Styela clava: one gene and its partner. The protein of the gene in region 2 interacts with the protein of the main gene of each other region in a pairwise test. Links are inferred from orthologs where the notes say so. Each region holds a gene or a part of one and is shown on either strand. Other genes may lie near its edges.

Evidence for each region.
Region 1: the proteins of cysteine-rich motor neuron 1 protein-like (region 2) and zonadhesin-like interact in a two-hybrid assay, tested with the Caenorhabditis elegans proteins (2 studies listed by BioGRID). The link is inferred for Styela clava from reciprocal best matches to the Caenorhabditis elegans genes crim-1 and Y69H2.3.

What each region holds. Positions count from the first base shown.
Region 1 is NC_135252.1:14,404,088-14,412,396, forward strand, and holds the start of zonadhesin-like, read right to left. Parts: upstream 3,523-8,309; 5' UTR 3,446-3,522; coding exon 3,367-3,445; intron 2,945-3,366; coding exon 2,879-2,944; intron 2,616-2,878; coding exon 2,535-2,615; intron 2,187-2,534; coding exon 2,118-2,186; intron 1,982-2,117; coding exon 1,883-1,981; intron 1,067-1,882; coding exon 896-1,066; intron 515-895; coding exon 326-514; intron 57-325; coding exon 1-56.
Region 2 is NC_135262.1:100,977-109,799, reverse strand, and holds the start of cysteine-rich motor neuron 1 protein-like, read right to left. Parts: upstream 3,258-8,823; 5' UTR 3,079-3,257; coding exon 2,945-3,078; intron 1-2,944.

The DNA of each region.
Region 1 (8,309 bases), on a different chromosome or scaffold from region 2:
ACATTGACACCTTCCGTCAATACAATCACTTCCAGGCGGACAATTTTTTTTACACACTGAAAAAAATTTAACATCAAGAAAAATTAAAATATGTATTGATTGTGATTCAGAGTCATTCATATTCAATGAATAGTTTGCCGTTTGTCGTTGAATGATCAACGTTACCTCATAGTGATAATTCAGTTTTCACAGTCAATTTGAAACTTTCCATAGTGTCATTAACTTCCATTCATAGTTATTTATGAGCCTGAACCACAACTTTTATGACATTGCAGAAAATTGAATCGTTAACTGGTAAGTTTCAAGTTTATAATATTTTACTTACGTTGCGGCCGAGGGCAGTTTTGTAGCAAAGTACATCTAGTGTCATGTTGGCTAACTTGGACGAATCCCTTTCTACACTCGCATTTTCTATTCGGATCGCAGGCGGGGGCACAAATCTCGGGATTTGGGTTTTTGCAAGTGCCCACACAAAACGAAGCACATGCGGTAGGTTTCTCACCATACCCACATTCTGAAAATCATAATAGTCAATTTATAAGTAAATTCAATTATATGAATCTTTTCTATACGACGCTAAAAATGGATAAAGCAAATGGATTTATTAGTTTGGACTGGAAAATGCTTTTCTAATAGCTCATTTGTTCATGTTAAATGAGATAGACAAATGCAGTTAAAATACATACTAAGCCATACTTCAATAAAATTAAGCAAGTGATTAGAGGATATAACTAAGAAATTTAGTGTTTTTACAGATATCAAGTATCATAGAATTTTCACCAATAAAAATGTCTGCTTAGGGTGTTGTTGTACATTTTATGTATCCAAAATATGTATTAAAACGATTGTTTAATTTATTTAATATTCTTTGCTAGAACATAATCTATGAACCTACTAGTAGGACATTGGTGTCGTTTCACGCATCCACCATTGTGTTCCAGCAGCCCATCAGGACACACACAATACCTGTCCAATTTACATTCCTTGGTACAAGCTTGCGGAAATGGTTTTTCACATGTCGGTGGACAGTTCGAACATGGTTTGAATATTTTACCGGGAGGACAAGCTGGAAATCAAAACATTCGTAGGTGATAATGATAACAGATTATTATCGTTAAATGAGAAACTAATATAACGCAGCGACATCACGTATTCGTTTTGGAAAATTGTGTTAGAAACAATAAATTTCATAGAAAAAAAAGTTTCGAGGTAAATTCACGAATCACGATGGAATCAAACAGACAAGCATACTCGTAATTGACGGAGAAATATTAGTTTGAAAACTTGATATTTTGATATTCCAGAGGAATATGTTGTTGGGTTATGACTTTTATTGACGATATTGATGTATATATTTTCAATGAAATATATAACGCGAAATTTACTTGTATTAGAAATGATTTGCCCGCAGGGATAGACAACGTCACAGAAGTCGTGTTCTTATATATATATTAGCAAAGATACCTGCGGAATCATGTTTACTTGAAATAACAAAAATATTATCAACTTAAATATGATTCAGAGGTATTTGATAAAACCTCAAATCGGGTTAAACGCAGGTTATAATTAAAAAGTTGCGATCTATACAGTAGGTTCAAATCATGGTTGTTACTAATTATAGAACTGAAACATTTCTGATATACTTCTACATTTATCAGGTATTCGAAAATATTCAATTTTTATACTGTTATACATAAAAGTGCACATGGACATTTAGATTAATCGAGCACATGCAAAAAGGTAACTAAGTTATTACTCAAGTCTTTCCAAATCATTTGAGTTTTGGAAGGGGTAATGTTACGTATGGCCATAATGTGTTGATATATTTTCACTTTACAATAACTATTGAAAAATTAAATTGTAAAATATTAATGATTCTTACTGACGCATCTTCCATTGTAAAAGTCTCCTCTTCTGCAAACGCATCTACCATCTTTACATACTTGACCAGACGCACATGGTGATGAACACGTATTTGGATCTGTAAACGAACGGAAGTCAAGCAATTTTGCACTTGTTCACTTAAATCAAATAAAAGCAAATTCAGAATAACAATAAAACTATATACAGCAAAAATGAAACTCTTCGACTATAACATTAATATCTCATAGACTTACCAACACATATTCCATCAATACATATCTGTCCTACAATGCATGTAACTGCTGCACATGAAGTACTTCTTCCTGTATATGGAGTGTTGTCTTGTTTATTCAAAAGTAATACTGTGCAACGGTTTTATCGCGTGCGGAAAGTGCATTTATATTATCAAAATTATCTTTAACAAAATTACATATTTTAACAAATTTCAAACATGAGCATTGTATATCTATATATGTTGGTTTTTCTGGTGATTACTGTATCCTAGCCTATAACATAACCTAAAGGATGTTTACGCCTGAACTGCTATCTGGAGATTCTAATTATAATAGTACCCAAAACATGCTCTTTATGAGAATTCACTGAAAAGACATTCATTTGTTATTGTATAATGAAATTGTTTAAAATTCGAGAATATGCAATTGTATACGTACGGACGCATTCGCCAAACCGACAGTCTTCCGTATGTTTGCACGGGGGCCAGCATTCACCAGGTGGTATACCGATGGCTATAACTGAAAAAAGATTTTAAAAAGTAATAAATAAACATGATATTTTCTTTCTTTCGTATTTTTACGTTATTTTGAAATAAGAAATCACTTAGTATGCAGATGTACCCTTATACGCGCTTGAACAGCACACACATAATTTATTACGTAAATTTTTTATCATTTCTATCATTTTTGACAAAGTATACAATTTTTAAATATATTGTTAACCAGTACTGTGAAAATTGCCTAACTTGACAGTTTTCCACACCTATACAGATATAACTTACGATCGATACATCTTCCGTCAACACATTGTTTATGAGGTGGACAACCAGTAACCTCACACGGGGGAACTGAAAAATAATTTTGGTAGAAAATTATTCTCAAAAAAACGCTGTTTATGCCTGAATATTTTAGTATATAGTAGACACAATATTCTCATCATATCAGCAAGCATAGCCAATGAAATGGTCGGAAGGTATTCAGACAAAATAAATTCATTTCAATTATATTGCGTTCTCAGATCTCAATTAACACCATTGTAATGTTTTTTATTACAATAATATTATGGGATGTATTTCAAAGCTATCACTGTTTTCTGACATATTTTATTCTATGATCAGTAATGTTTTCACTGTTTCAAATAACGTGTTGTGAATATGAAAAAGATAATATATCAATACACTACTTGTCTCTTTAAATGATAAATTTGTAAAAAATGATATATACAATACAACAAAATTAATGTTACATTTATGTCTATTTTTCAACTTACCGTATTTGTCAACTGATAAGCATGACGCGGTGACAAATACAAAACTCGTCAAACACAAACTCGATAAAATGGAGGCCATATTAGCAATATGAACCTCTCAGTATCAAACAAGTTCTAGTTTAATGATTTCAACACGCGAATTACATTTATATATACCTATAGGAAAAGCGACAGTTGTTTTCTCCTCCTTGACTAATCTAAAAATATGATTTAAGTTCACGGTTTGCAAAATTGATTAAATCAAATTTTCAGCTTGTTTGCTGTAATAAAATAACAGTCATTCACGTGAATTATACAGTAATTGCTTTAATAATTCATTGAAAATTTTCTTGTTAAAGAAAATAATCGAGTATGCTTATGTATATAACTGAAACGAATCATGTCATCCTTTTTCTACCATTTTTTGATCAACTATTTCATTACTATCACAAAGTTACAAAGATATGACAAGTACTTCACTATTTTTTTTAAAATTGTTGATTGCACAGGTATTGTTGCTCGAGAAAAGATTTTAAACTTATCGATTAAATTCGATTGCTTCGATGTAACATTTTAAGTTTAATTTCAAGTTACAATTTTAAACTTAATAGACTTTTGTAAAAATACATCTATTGGGAAGGTTTCATAATTACAAGGAAAGCTAACCTCAAATTTGGCATTGTAACGCCTATCGGTTGAGATGTGCAATTTGATGGTTTCTGAACAAGATCTCAGAAAACATTTTTTATCGACCTTGTTAGACACTGCCCTTTTAAGATAGAAATTATGCACAATAAAACACATTTGTACACATCCGATCAGCGTGAATATTACCACGCAGTATAGTTCTACGATTTTAAAGCAACTCTATTTCTAAAATTAGGATTCCGTCACAAAAGTAAACAAACACTATAGACCTGGCATCTTGGCGTTATTCACAATGCTAATATTGATGTGATTTCAATGGGCGAGTGAATTTTTTACCGAAGTTTGGTTATACTATGTATTCATGCAGTTTTTATTCTATACCAAACTGTTTTCAATTTCCAGATCAATCTATCAGTCAACTTCAATTTTCAAAATTTTGGAAGTTTCGAAAGTTTGTTTCGTGCACGTTTTTAGAAATTCGTGAAATTGGCGCATTGTCTGAACTTAGTTTTGTCTTTACATAACACTTGACATTCATCGTAAATTCCCCGATTAATCAATTATGAACTGGCGAATATAGCGTGCAAAATATTGCATTCATTGCATACTTTTGCAATTGCGTTGCAAATCACGAGAGTTATGAAAAAAATCTTTCATTCAGTAAATGCAGTTTTGTCCTGATTAATATGCGATTTATATATTGAAAAAAACGTTTTGCTTTTAACATAATCGTGTAGATTTAATGCGTTCAATTAAAGCAAATTCGACCTGTTTACGAGTTTTAATATTGTTAATATTTAACTAGAACAGAATATTTAACTAGAATTGATTAGGCAACAGGCTGAAACTCCCGATTACAAGCTTTCTTCACAAAATCACCGGCACATTCATTTCTTCCCAGAAATAGATGATGGTTTACAACCAGTCACATCACGGCCTACGAAAGGGAATGTCCATGACCAAACTTGACTGGTGTTAAAGCTTGATAGACACGTTTGCGGCAAGCAATAAAAAGGTTAGGCTGGTCTGGCATATGCCAATGGCCACGAGACAATACAGGAAATATATACAAAAGTTTATGGCATTACTTGAGTTTATTCACACAAATAATCAAATTTAATCCAACACCGCCAGGTTAATACTATATATATTACGGATTTGGCTATACATGACTTAATTTATCATTATTAGTTTATGCCCAACAATCTGTTATAGACGGGAACAAAATATCCATGGTGCAACGTGTTTATTAAAGCAATAAAAATTGTTGGAAAAAGTAGATGTATTAGATCTGTTCATCAAATAAATAAAGCTTCGAGCTAATAAATAAATACAGTTTTAACGTTGAGCGCAAAAAAAGATATCGTAAGATTTTAATCTCTTTAACCACAGTTTCTAGATCAATATGATTTCGATGACTCCAATTCATCGCCCATAACGTGTATTTCCTGATTTATATTTTGTGAGATAACTAAATGAAAATACTACATATACGTAATAGTTTACGCCGCCGCTTTACAAGCTAGCAAATAGATTCAAACACTTTTATGAAATATATTTGGCAAAAACTTTCTATTTAATTATGATTAGATAGAACTAAGCCGTATTTCTATATAATTGTGAAATTGCCCATTGAGCATTCTAGAGAGTTTTATATTTAACAACAAGCGTCTTAATTAACGAAATGAAAAACAGGAAATTCCAATATAACTCGTTTGTCAACACGAGACTGCGGGTATGGTTAATAATGTGTTGTGTTTGTTTCACGAACTCGGAAGATATATTGAGCAATCATTGGCGACGAACGCTGAGTACAATTATAGCAAATAATTTTCAACCTAGGTTTACAAATTAATTTCATTTTGATTACTATTTTTCGTGTCGGCTTTGATCGTTCTTATCACCAACGTAAAATAAAAAATGAACAATAACTTTGCTACTGGCTCCGAGATTCGTTGTGTTTTTCTGTATGCATTTTAGTGCGGTGACCGGAAATTTGCACCCACGTACATTTGAACCCATACATTTGAACTGATGTATCCGCAGGTTCAATCTATATGCGGGTGATAAAATCCACGGATTGTGCATTGTGCAATCCAAGTCTTTATTTCAACAACGAGCAGGTGACGTCCCTTGTTCACGTGCATTTACCAGATTTTTGAATTCGTAAACTGCTATTTTAATATCCGACACCAATTCGAATATTTTGCCCAGACCTACTCGGTAACCCGTAATTGAATATTGACTTGATCGATTTTATGTAAATAAACTTGTGTTTGATGCAATATGTGAACATTTACGTATTTCCGAACTTGACTGGTATTAAAGCTTGATAGACACGTTTGCGGCAAGCAATTAATTTTGTCATGCGAAAGTGGCTTGCGAGACGTAAAAGGTTAGGCTGGTCTGGCAAATGCCAATGGCCACGAAACAATATACGTAATATATACAAAAGTCTATGTCATTACTTGAGTTCAATCACACAAATAATCAAATTTAATCCAAGACCGCCAGGTTAATATTATATTACGGATTTGGCTATACATGATTTGATATATTAGTATTAGCTTATGCTCAACATTCTGTTATAGACAGGAACAAAATACCAATGGTGCAATGTGTTTATTAAGGCAATAAATAATCGCTGAAAAAAGTGAATATATTAGATCTGTTCATCAAATAAATAAAGCTTCGAGCTAATAAATAAATACAGTTTTAAAATTGCGCGCAAAAAATGATATCGTAAGATTTTAATCTTTTTTGCGGCATCACAGCTAGGAAATTGATTCAAACAATTTTATGAAATAGATTGTGCAAGAACTTTCTATTTAAATATGGTGAGATACAAAAAGCCGTATTCCTATATTATTGTGAATTTGCCCATTAAGCATTTCAGAGAATGTTAAATTTAACAACAAGCGTCTTAACGAAATAAAAAAAAAACAGTAGTATGCATTCAAATAATCTTATTGTAGAATATATATTTAAAAACATTTCGTCACGCCAACTGCAGTTTGAAACTTTTTGTCTCTGGCTGAGCTTAGATACCAATTGGCACTCATGTAAACTGGTAAGACTGTAAGAGGCACGCGATGAAGCAGATACTAAGAGTATCCATCCCCCAGCTGTCATTTGAGTGGGTACACTGTAAAAAATATTAGGGGCGATTTACAACCAAACGCGCGGCAGCAGCGATGCCATGCACTTTGTTGTAAACACCATATACAACTTCAGATGTATTGGATCGTTGCAAGCGGTTGTAATTTTACAACCAAATGTATGTACTAGGCAAAGCAGTGGGTTGGATGTCTCCGATTTTTACAGCCATAGCGATGCTAACCTTAACTACAAGAAGAAGTTGTAATACTAAACAACATCCGCAAAGTAACTCGATTAACCCTCATTCCACCACCTGAAGAAATGAAATACAATTGAAAAGAAATCACTTTTAATAGAATATGTGATCAAATATTAGCAACGAAACAGTATCAAATACACTCGAGAAGTGATTGTCTCCGCCAGCAAAATAGTTCATTTCATCTCTTCAAATAGGTGGAAACCATTTGAGGTAGATTCAACATTGCAGTGGCCCCTGTCATTTTTTCTTGCACTTTTTGATTTCTCTGGCTGTTTATTTTGACAATTCGACTGAAAAAAAATGGCATAGCTTGAATAAAATGCAAACAAGTAGTTGAGTGAGAAGTCAACATATTTACATATGTTATATCTTGATCTTCTGGGGTAAAATGATTCCATTAGCAAAGTGGTAGATTCATATTATATTCAATGCTCAGAAGAAGTTAAATTTATTATCAATCTCTCCTGAAGCTCGCAATTATATCATTATCACTCCAAACAATGAAAATTGTTATATAAAAAGACAAAAAACTATGTTTGAATTTATTTGCCTATTCATTGCACAAAAATCAACTTAGTGCAAGGAGGCTCACTATATACAGTAATATGATGCTCATATGTATAAGAAAGGCTTTGATTTATTAAACAGTTAAATTCATACCATTGCCATCGAAAAATGAAACACCAATAGGCTACCAGTTCCTGATCTTTCTAGAAATTCGTTTGTAGTGTTGATACAATGACAGACTTGATAAGGGCCAAATGCGAATGCCCCAGAGGTAAAATGGCAGGATATGTTTTTCCACTTTCGAACTGAAAGGAATCAGCAGATTGAGGATGTATGAAAATGATATAGGCATAAAAAGTTCACGACTTTCTACTGCAGTAGCTAATCTTGCAGTTTCACTAGAGATGTCATAAATTAGAAGATCATAAATTAACTCACCTTGCAAAACCTG
Region 2 (8,823 bases):
CACCTTTGCATGATGGACATTACCGCTATTGCCCTACAAGGCTCCTAATTTACACATTTATTCATTTGCACTACGTCCAAAATTGCGTAAAGCTGCAATTGTTACGATACTAGGTAAATTGCCGGAATTATTGGGAAATATAATTCATACTTTTCACCACAGTCATAGTGGCACATACACAACTAATAAGAGGCAAATGATATAAGTTCTAAGTGATATAATACTTTCGCTGCACACTTATACAAATGCAATACTCGAGCGTATTTTTTGTACGATTTAAACTTTTTTCCAAGTTATACTCGCTTTCCAGGTATCTCTGCTATGTCGTTACTTTGTTTTGTTTTATGCCAGAACGACCGAAATAAAATTGCTTGATCGATTTCTGCCAGGCGATCTCATACATGGATATTTTCAAACGCAAAATACTAAGTTTCAAAAACTTCCCAAGAACCTTGTTCACGTTCATGGATTAATCATCAATGCCACCCATGGTGTACGAATTGCTGGACAAGAAAGTTTCCGGTTCTTTCGAAAATAGTATCTTCCTGTGTATCGTGTATTACCAGTGGTTGCCTTTCGGATGACGCGAGTAGCGTCACATGAAATTAATATATCCTCCAGAATTAATCCTCCAAAAGTTAATTTAAATAAGACCGTGTCTTACTTATATTCGGGGAAACACGGTATATTCCCCAGAATTGTTGAATTCACTCTGGGCCCGAATCGAGGTCGTGAATATTTTACTCATTATATAGTGCCGTAATTTATCGTGGTATATATCTAACATGGGCAAACCCAACTAAAACTAAAATTGATGTTTTAGCTGAAAAATGCTAAAGAAATTTGTTGAGATTGCGGTTAAATTTAGTTTCGTTACGAGGCTTATTGTTTTTCAATTTTGCTTTTGTAACACTATGAACTTTATTAATAAAATGTAATTTTTTGCATCACACTTACATGGCCCGCAAGTCCAGGCGACAAGGTTTTTGGCCTCTAGTTCAAAAACCTTGCCTACCCCTGGCATAGTTTTATATTAGAAAATGATATGTGTTGGCTTAAAAATGGTCCGTGAAAAAACTAGGATGCTTAAAATATTTTTATATTTGTAAATTTACGATATTTTACCCCAAAATTGTTGAATTCACTCTCGGCTTAGAGTGATTTTCGAAAACAAAGTCGATCTGGAATATTAATTGAGCGAGTGTCTTCTATTACATCATACCTTTACATAGAGATTAACAATTCTGGGTCGGTTCGGAAGCGTCCGCCATCAACAATTCAACGCGCTATGAAAACAATGGGTTAACTATTTCGTCATAAAGCGAGGTAGCCTCGGGCTGAAGACGAAAGTTTACTAAACAGAGCATAAGAAAATATTTTAACCCGATGTTTACTGATGTTTTAAATCATTCAATAGTTGAGCGGAGAAAAGATTGGTTGCGTTAAGAAGGTTAAGGTGAAGATTGTCAATCTTAAGCCTCTCAATCTGAATTGAACGGGCTGATATTTTGGTTCAAAATCCCGAAACGCCGAAGAAAAAAACAAAATTTTCTGCAAAGATGAACTTTGCAAATATGGCAGATATTTTTTGGGTTAAACAACACAATATTTAAAAAAATGTCAGACTTCAAATCCATAATATGAGAAATATCATCAAACTTGGAAATAATCTGACAACAAAGTTCAACTGAGGTTGGATTCGACGGCACATTGAAGAGAGCGTCGAGACTTGGTTGGTTGATAAAACTCATGAAATGGTGAATAGGCGACGCTCGAGAAGTATGTGTACCAATATGGAGGTAACTAAATTTGTTCGCCTACTTTACATCAAGTTGTGTAGAGGGACTGAAACCTATGGGCAGGGGCTATATTCACTTAGCTAACAGAGACAGTCCCCGAACTCGTAATAAAACCAAAATAAGGAAAATCGAAATAAAATCATAGCCTGACCCTAACCCGGTACACACATTACGCGAATACCGAATAGTCTCACTACGGATTCCTATATAATTCACTGCAAAAGTAGAGCAGTGCTCGAATATATGAACGCGGAGGTCAAATGTCAAAACATTGTTCCCAAGAATTAAAATGCAACAGCAAGTTTTGGGTGACTCTGATAGTCGATTGGTCCATCTTAAGTACTGAAATCGATTGTTGAGAAATGCGATTTTCTAGCAACAAACAACAAAACGATTCGCATTCATATTCGGTCTCCATTAATGCGCCACCTTTATGTCCACTTCATCCAGTTGGAAAAATGAAAATATTAGCCTTCTAGCACTGAAAATTTGGCACCAAACTACAAAGTATCGTCGCAGTAAATCCGTAGTAGCTCATTTCACATTTTGGTAAAATGACTTGGATTTCCTGTCATTATGGATCAGGGACCATCTTTCTGTTTGGGTTTCAAGGGTGTACCTGTTTTAGTTTTGATGTAGTGCTTTATGTGGATTTTTGGGTTAGGCTGTACAGATCTGAAATTTTCGAAATGCAATTTTCTCAAAACGATCCGCATTCATATTCGGTCCCTAATAATAGGCCATCCATATATTCACTTCATCCATAAATAAAACCGTAGAACAGGTGAGGCGGGCACGGTTTTTGTACCAATTGCCGAAAATTTTGCCTATCTGGGCAGGCGAGCAATGTATGTATGACATAAAAAGTTACATACCATGAACAATGTTCACAGTGTTACAAAAGCAAAAGTGGAAAACGATAAGTCTCGCAATTTAATCGCAATATCAACAAATTCCTTGAGTTATTTTAATTAAAACATCAAAATTTGGTTTTAGTTTGGTTGTGGCAGCATCAGGCGGGCCAGATTGAATTACCCAACGGGCCGGATTTGGCTCGCAGGCCGTGATTTGCCCATGTCAGATGTAGAAGAAGGTGAGGATTTACTGCGGCGATATGAACTTCATGCGCAATATGAAACACTCACCTGCAAGCATCTTCCACCAATCCACCAGGACAGTTGGAAGGAATCCGACATTTCTCTTTGTCGCACGGGAGGCAGCTGTGGGCATGGACAGTCGAAGCTAGCAGTAACATGCAAATCATAACGATGTATTCCATGTCTCGATTTTATAGTAAAGTTTGCGAAGACGTAATAAGTTTATGACGTAATCCTTGATTGATGACCTCACTAACGTTACATCCAAGTTTATTCCAAAAATATTCCGGATGTCGTAAAGGTCTCTGATTCTTCGACAATACTATATTGTATATCGCTATGCTTTAGAAAAAATGAAAGCTTAATTTTAACTTAGCATGGAAGGAGGAGACTACGGGCAGACATGTGGAAGAGGGAATGTTTGAATAGACTGGAGGGTTCGATAACCTGGGTTACCATCGGAATTAGGCTTCAGCTAGTTGTGATGACGTGGATGGCGTTTGGGAACTGCCCTACAATTCAGAGCTTATCTTGGACCGATAAGTCAAATCAAATAGAAATGGACTCCCTTCCGCTCAAGAGGCGTCAGATTTTATTTAAAATGTACCTACAATTGAGAGGGGCCGAGCATATCTTACGTCGATAAGTCAATTCAAATAGAAATAAATTGGTAGCGGAGATACTCTTATCATAATAAATTCGCATTCCATAACTTATCATAACATAAATTGCAATTTTTCCAAAACGACCTACCGGGCAACAAAATTAAGACACATACGTTTCATTTTCCAAATAATCGTACACTCACACATATCAATGCACAAAATCAAAAGAAATATTGTATAGCCACAGACGACAAAGTCATTTCCCTTCAAAGACGGAAAACTTTCACTTGGACATTTGAATTTAAATATAATTGTAATCGCATTTTCTGGAAAATGGCCTTTCTGACTTAACTTCAAATTTTCCACTCCGTCGCAAAATTGTAACCTCATAGATTGCCAGACATAAATCGGTAAAAATACAGCCTTCCAAGCTCATAATCACTAAGCACGGGAAAACAGAAAACTTTCAATAAGGCGAAGACGACGCGACTCGATCTGACGAATTCATTCAATTAATGTATTTCACTTAGCATTACGTTTGATGAAAGGATATTGTGTACGTCATAGTAAAAGCATAATCTATTTGTAATGTCATAAACAATATCTTTGTAGTTATGAGAAAATAATCAAAGCGAACAGCTGTATATGGCGTCATGGAACAAAATAGAAATCTTTAAAGTGATGTCACTATATATTAATCAAATTACGTCGGACGATATTTTAATCGCTTATTAGGTCCCAAGTCACGAAACAATGCAACAACATAATGAGATATAAAACGCTAGAGTGCATTGCTACTAGGGCTTTTATACTTAGGGGAGAAAAGCTATGGAACACGGATTTGTAGACCTCCCAACAAACACCGGCGAAAACACTGCATCTAAGACAATTGGCAACCACGAAACGAGAATACCGGTCGGAGACCGGAGACTTATCGATCGGAGGTTAGGGGGTCCCCCAAAACAGCGCTCTTACTCCATAGTGACACCGTGTGTCCCATCACTAATTAATTAATAACTCGCTAATTATACGACATAATTCATCGAAAATCAATAGGCTCCTGATCAGAGCTATGATATATGCACATGCGAAATTTGGAGCAGATTAAACCTTGCTTTCGTGAGATATCGCGTGCATCTAACAGACAGGCAGACAAACAAATACCTATCAACATACTTACCGATCTTAAGATCGATGAGTAATAACTGGGAAAATAGAACGCACAAATTTCGGCGCTCCAGAAGTGTGTGTACCAATATGGAGGTAACTAATTTTGTTCGCCTACTTTACATCAAGTTGTGTAAAGGGACTGAAATCCATGGGCAGTGGATATAATCACTTGGCTAACACAGACAGTCCCCGAACTCGTAATAGAACTAAACAAAGAAAATAGGAATAAAATTATGGCTAACCCTAACCTGGTGCACATACTTCGGTAGTACCCAAATTTCTAAAATATTCTATGAAAATGAAGAAAAACAACACTTGAACTTTTGTTTATGCATGATCGTAGCCGAAAGTTTTAGTAATCTTGGACGATTTGCACAAAAGTTATCTCCTTTCAAGAATATGTCATTCTGTCCTCCAGCGGATGTGACAACAAATGGATATCATGCAACGAATACGCGGTCACGAATCTTGCCTCATATGTCCTATATATATCATAACGGTATACCCGTAGTATGTGTACCAGGTTAGGATTAGTGCATACTGCATAATTTAATTCCGATTTTCCCCATTTTAGTTCTATTGGAAGTTCGGGGACTGTCTGTGTTAGCCGAGTGAATATACCCCCTGTCCATAGGTTTCAGTCCCTTTACACAACTTGATATGATATAGGCGAACAAAATTAGTTACCTCCATATTGATACACATACTTCTGGAGCGCCATCATAACCGATGCCAATACAGCCTGACCCATCAATTACCATCTGCCTCTATATACATGACTGCTATATATCGCTGTGCAACGAACAGGACAACAAATCGCCGCCTCAAAGTACCAACTGAGTCTATAGACCACCCGCAAAGCCTAGACCTACCGGTAAGTCAGACATAAATTGGGTGTGTCGTATAAGCAAAACTTTTTTGCATATTATGGCGATTCCCATGTCCATCTACACTATGAACGTTGATATCTCAACAGAACTATAAATAATTCCTGACGTATCAATTGCGGCAGAAAACCTGGCCAATTTTTTTCCCCAAAGATTTCAGTTCTGTGGAATTTACCATATCATAGCTCTTTCCTCATTCTATCGGGACTCTACCTGGACAGCTATTGAGCAAGAACAATCGAAGTTAGGGATGGGCAAATTACGGCCCATCTGGCCTAACGAAGTGTTTCATCCGGTCCACTTGTGTCCGCTGGAATTACGACTATAGTTATCATATCGATGAAAAAACGCCATAATGACTCCGATTATTAAATAACTTTTTTTATTCATAGTTTTTTTTATTTACATCACAGAGATTGAAAGACCACCGTCAGAGAGTCTCATGAGATAATTTGCATAATTTGAAATCAGGGAGGGATCGACGTGTGAGATCATAATGCGATCATTATGATGGAGCACTTATCATTGTGACAAGCTTGAATGTTTTGAATGTGTTAGTTACGACTAGCACAAGTTATGCATCGCAAACAATTAACAGGATTGCTATCCTTGTACCCGGCATGGACTGTTAACCGGACGAGAGGCCGTGTTCGCTACATGATAATACTGTTTTATCAGTTTTTTTAAAACTAAAAACAACATCTCACAACAAGAGACACTTCTCTGATTGCTACTAGATTAAAACACACAAGTAAACAAGCTAATTCCGATTACTCTGATTGTTTCATAATAAATACAACGAAAAACAAACAAAACGGTATATTGTTCGCGAATAACAACGAAAATATAAAATATCTGGAGCACATTTCATCCGGACCGAGCACAAAAATAGACAGAACAACATAACGAGATCTGAGCGTTTAATACTCACATGGGCAAACTACGACCCGCGGGACACATCCGGACTGTGGGGTAATTTATTCTGACCCGCCTGATGCTGCCACAACAAAAATAAAACTAAATTTTGATGATTTACCTAAAAAATAGCTCATTGCATTTGTTGAGATTGCGATTAAATTTAGTTTTGGCACGAGGCTTATTGTTTTCCACTTTTGCAACACTGTAAATATTGTTCATGAAATGTACATTTTACGGCACGCTTACCGCCAGTCAAGGTGGGCAAAATTTTTGGACCCTGGTTCAAAATACTTGCCCACCCCTGTTCTGATACCAACGAACTGACCACTGTCATAATACATTGGCTGGATATCTCCGCATTGTTCGGTATGGAAAGCTACTTTCTATTGTGAAATGTTAGCGGTTTTCACCCTTTTTCGTATATTTCCCCCTATTTTGGAACTATTAAATCCTTAATTTAATTGGCTGGCAACTCACTCTGATGGATGATCAAATGACCATAAGGACCTAATGACCAAAGGTCGTATCGTTGCCTCCCTTTCATGTACCGAAAACATCTGTTTATTCGATACATGTATTACACACGATACATTTGAACCTACGACAATTGCACTTGATTATATTGTACCTATGAAATTTTGTTTTGTTTTGCGGATATTTGAACCCATACTAACGCTACCCCATGGGTTTTAGCACCCGCATATAGATTGAACCCGCGGATATTCACATGGATTCAAATGTACGTGGGCTCAAATGCACGGTTACCGTATGCATATACTGTTCTTTTGTTTTGACAAAATGAAATAATCTCTCTCTCTCCTTACCCATAAAAACTACTTTGTTTGTCAATCTTTTATGGATACTTTGCTTGTGTTATGGGCAATTCGCTCTCCTGCTTTTATACAGTTTATAATGTGCGCACAAATACGTATCATAGTAATAATAATGAATTAACGGATATTAGTAATACCACAGCAAATAAGAAGCAAAATTTCTCCTTGGTCGGGAAACGTGGCCTTAAGCTAACGCACATATTATATATGTCAGTCACTCCGTCACCAGAACAAATAAGCCTATATGCAACTCATGATGCGTCCGACGGTCGCAATCCCTATTACTCCATACCCTTTTTAGCCGAAAGATTGGGACCTTGAAACTTATATCTAAAATTATTGTCTAATATTATTTACTGTCACGAGTGTACCCCTGTTATGATCCTTAGTGCGTCGCAATTCAATTGATGCTGTTCCAACTTTTTATTCAAGCGACTCTGCTTTGATCAAATTTCGGTACTTCCGGTAGTGTGTGTACCAGGTTAGGCCATAATTTTATTCCGATTTTCCCTATTTTAGTTCTATTACGAGTTCGGTGACTGTCTGTGTTAGCCAAGTGAATATACCCCCTGCCCATAGGCTTCAGTCCCTTTACATAACTTGATGTAAAGTAGGCGAACAGAATTAGGTACCTCTATATCGGTAGACACACTTCTGGAGCGCTCAAACTTGTATTTAAAAAGTGCTGTCTTATATGATCTATACCGAGTACATGATAACCCATAGAATGCGCCGGTGAACCAACTGGTCTATCACTCGGTACGCTCTCTAATCTTCAGGACCTTGCTTTGAACAAACTTGTACGTAACGTACAAAGTATTGTCTCACAAATTATTCAAATTATATTACACAAATTCTCACTTAAAGCTATCGCCGTTTTAATCTCCTTAATTCCCTGCGAACACTCTCTCCGAACATAATAAATTTTTAATTTCGCACAAACACCCGAACTCAACACCTGACGATCGTTGTTTGTCGGAATCGGAATTCTTTTCTTGCGTGCGAACATGCGCAAGCGCAATCGCACACACACTCAGTATCGCGGGCTATAAATGAGCAAAAATATCTCGATCAGAAAAACGATTGTTCGTTTCATAACTCTCTGAGATAATCAATGTTTGGCCGATATATCAACCGTTGTTTTACTGACCTTAGGCTTTTACTCGACCAAAGGGACCTCTTTGAAGTTTAGGCAATATTCCTGAATTTTTGAAAAATATAGTTATATCATATAAGCCCCCTTATCGGCCTATCTCAATGATAAAAATTATATCTAATCCTTATACGCCATATTTTAATATTATCCATAATTACTTATATTCTATGTGTAGGCGAGATTGCCCAGAAGTGTATGTACTAAAATGGAGGTAACTAATTTTGTTCGCGTACTTTTTCACATCAAGTTGTGTAGAGGAACTGAAACCTATGGGCAGGGGGTAATTTCACTTGGTTAACACAGACAGTCCTGAACTCGTAATAAAAATAAAATAAGGAAAATCGGAATAAAAATATGG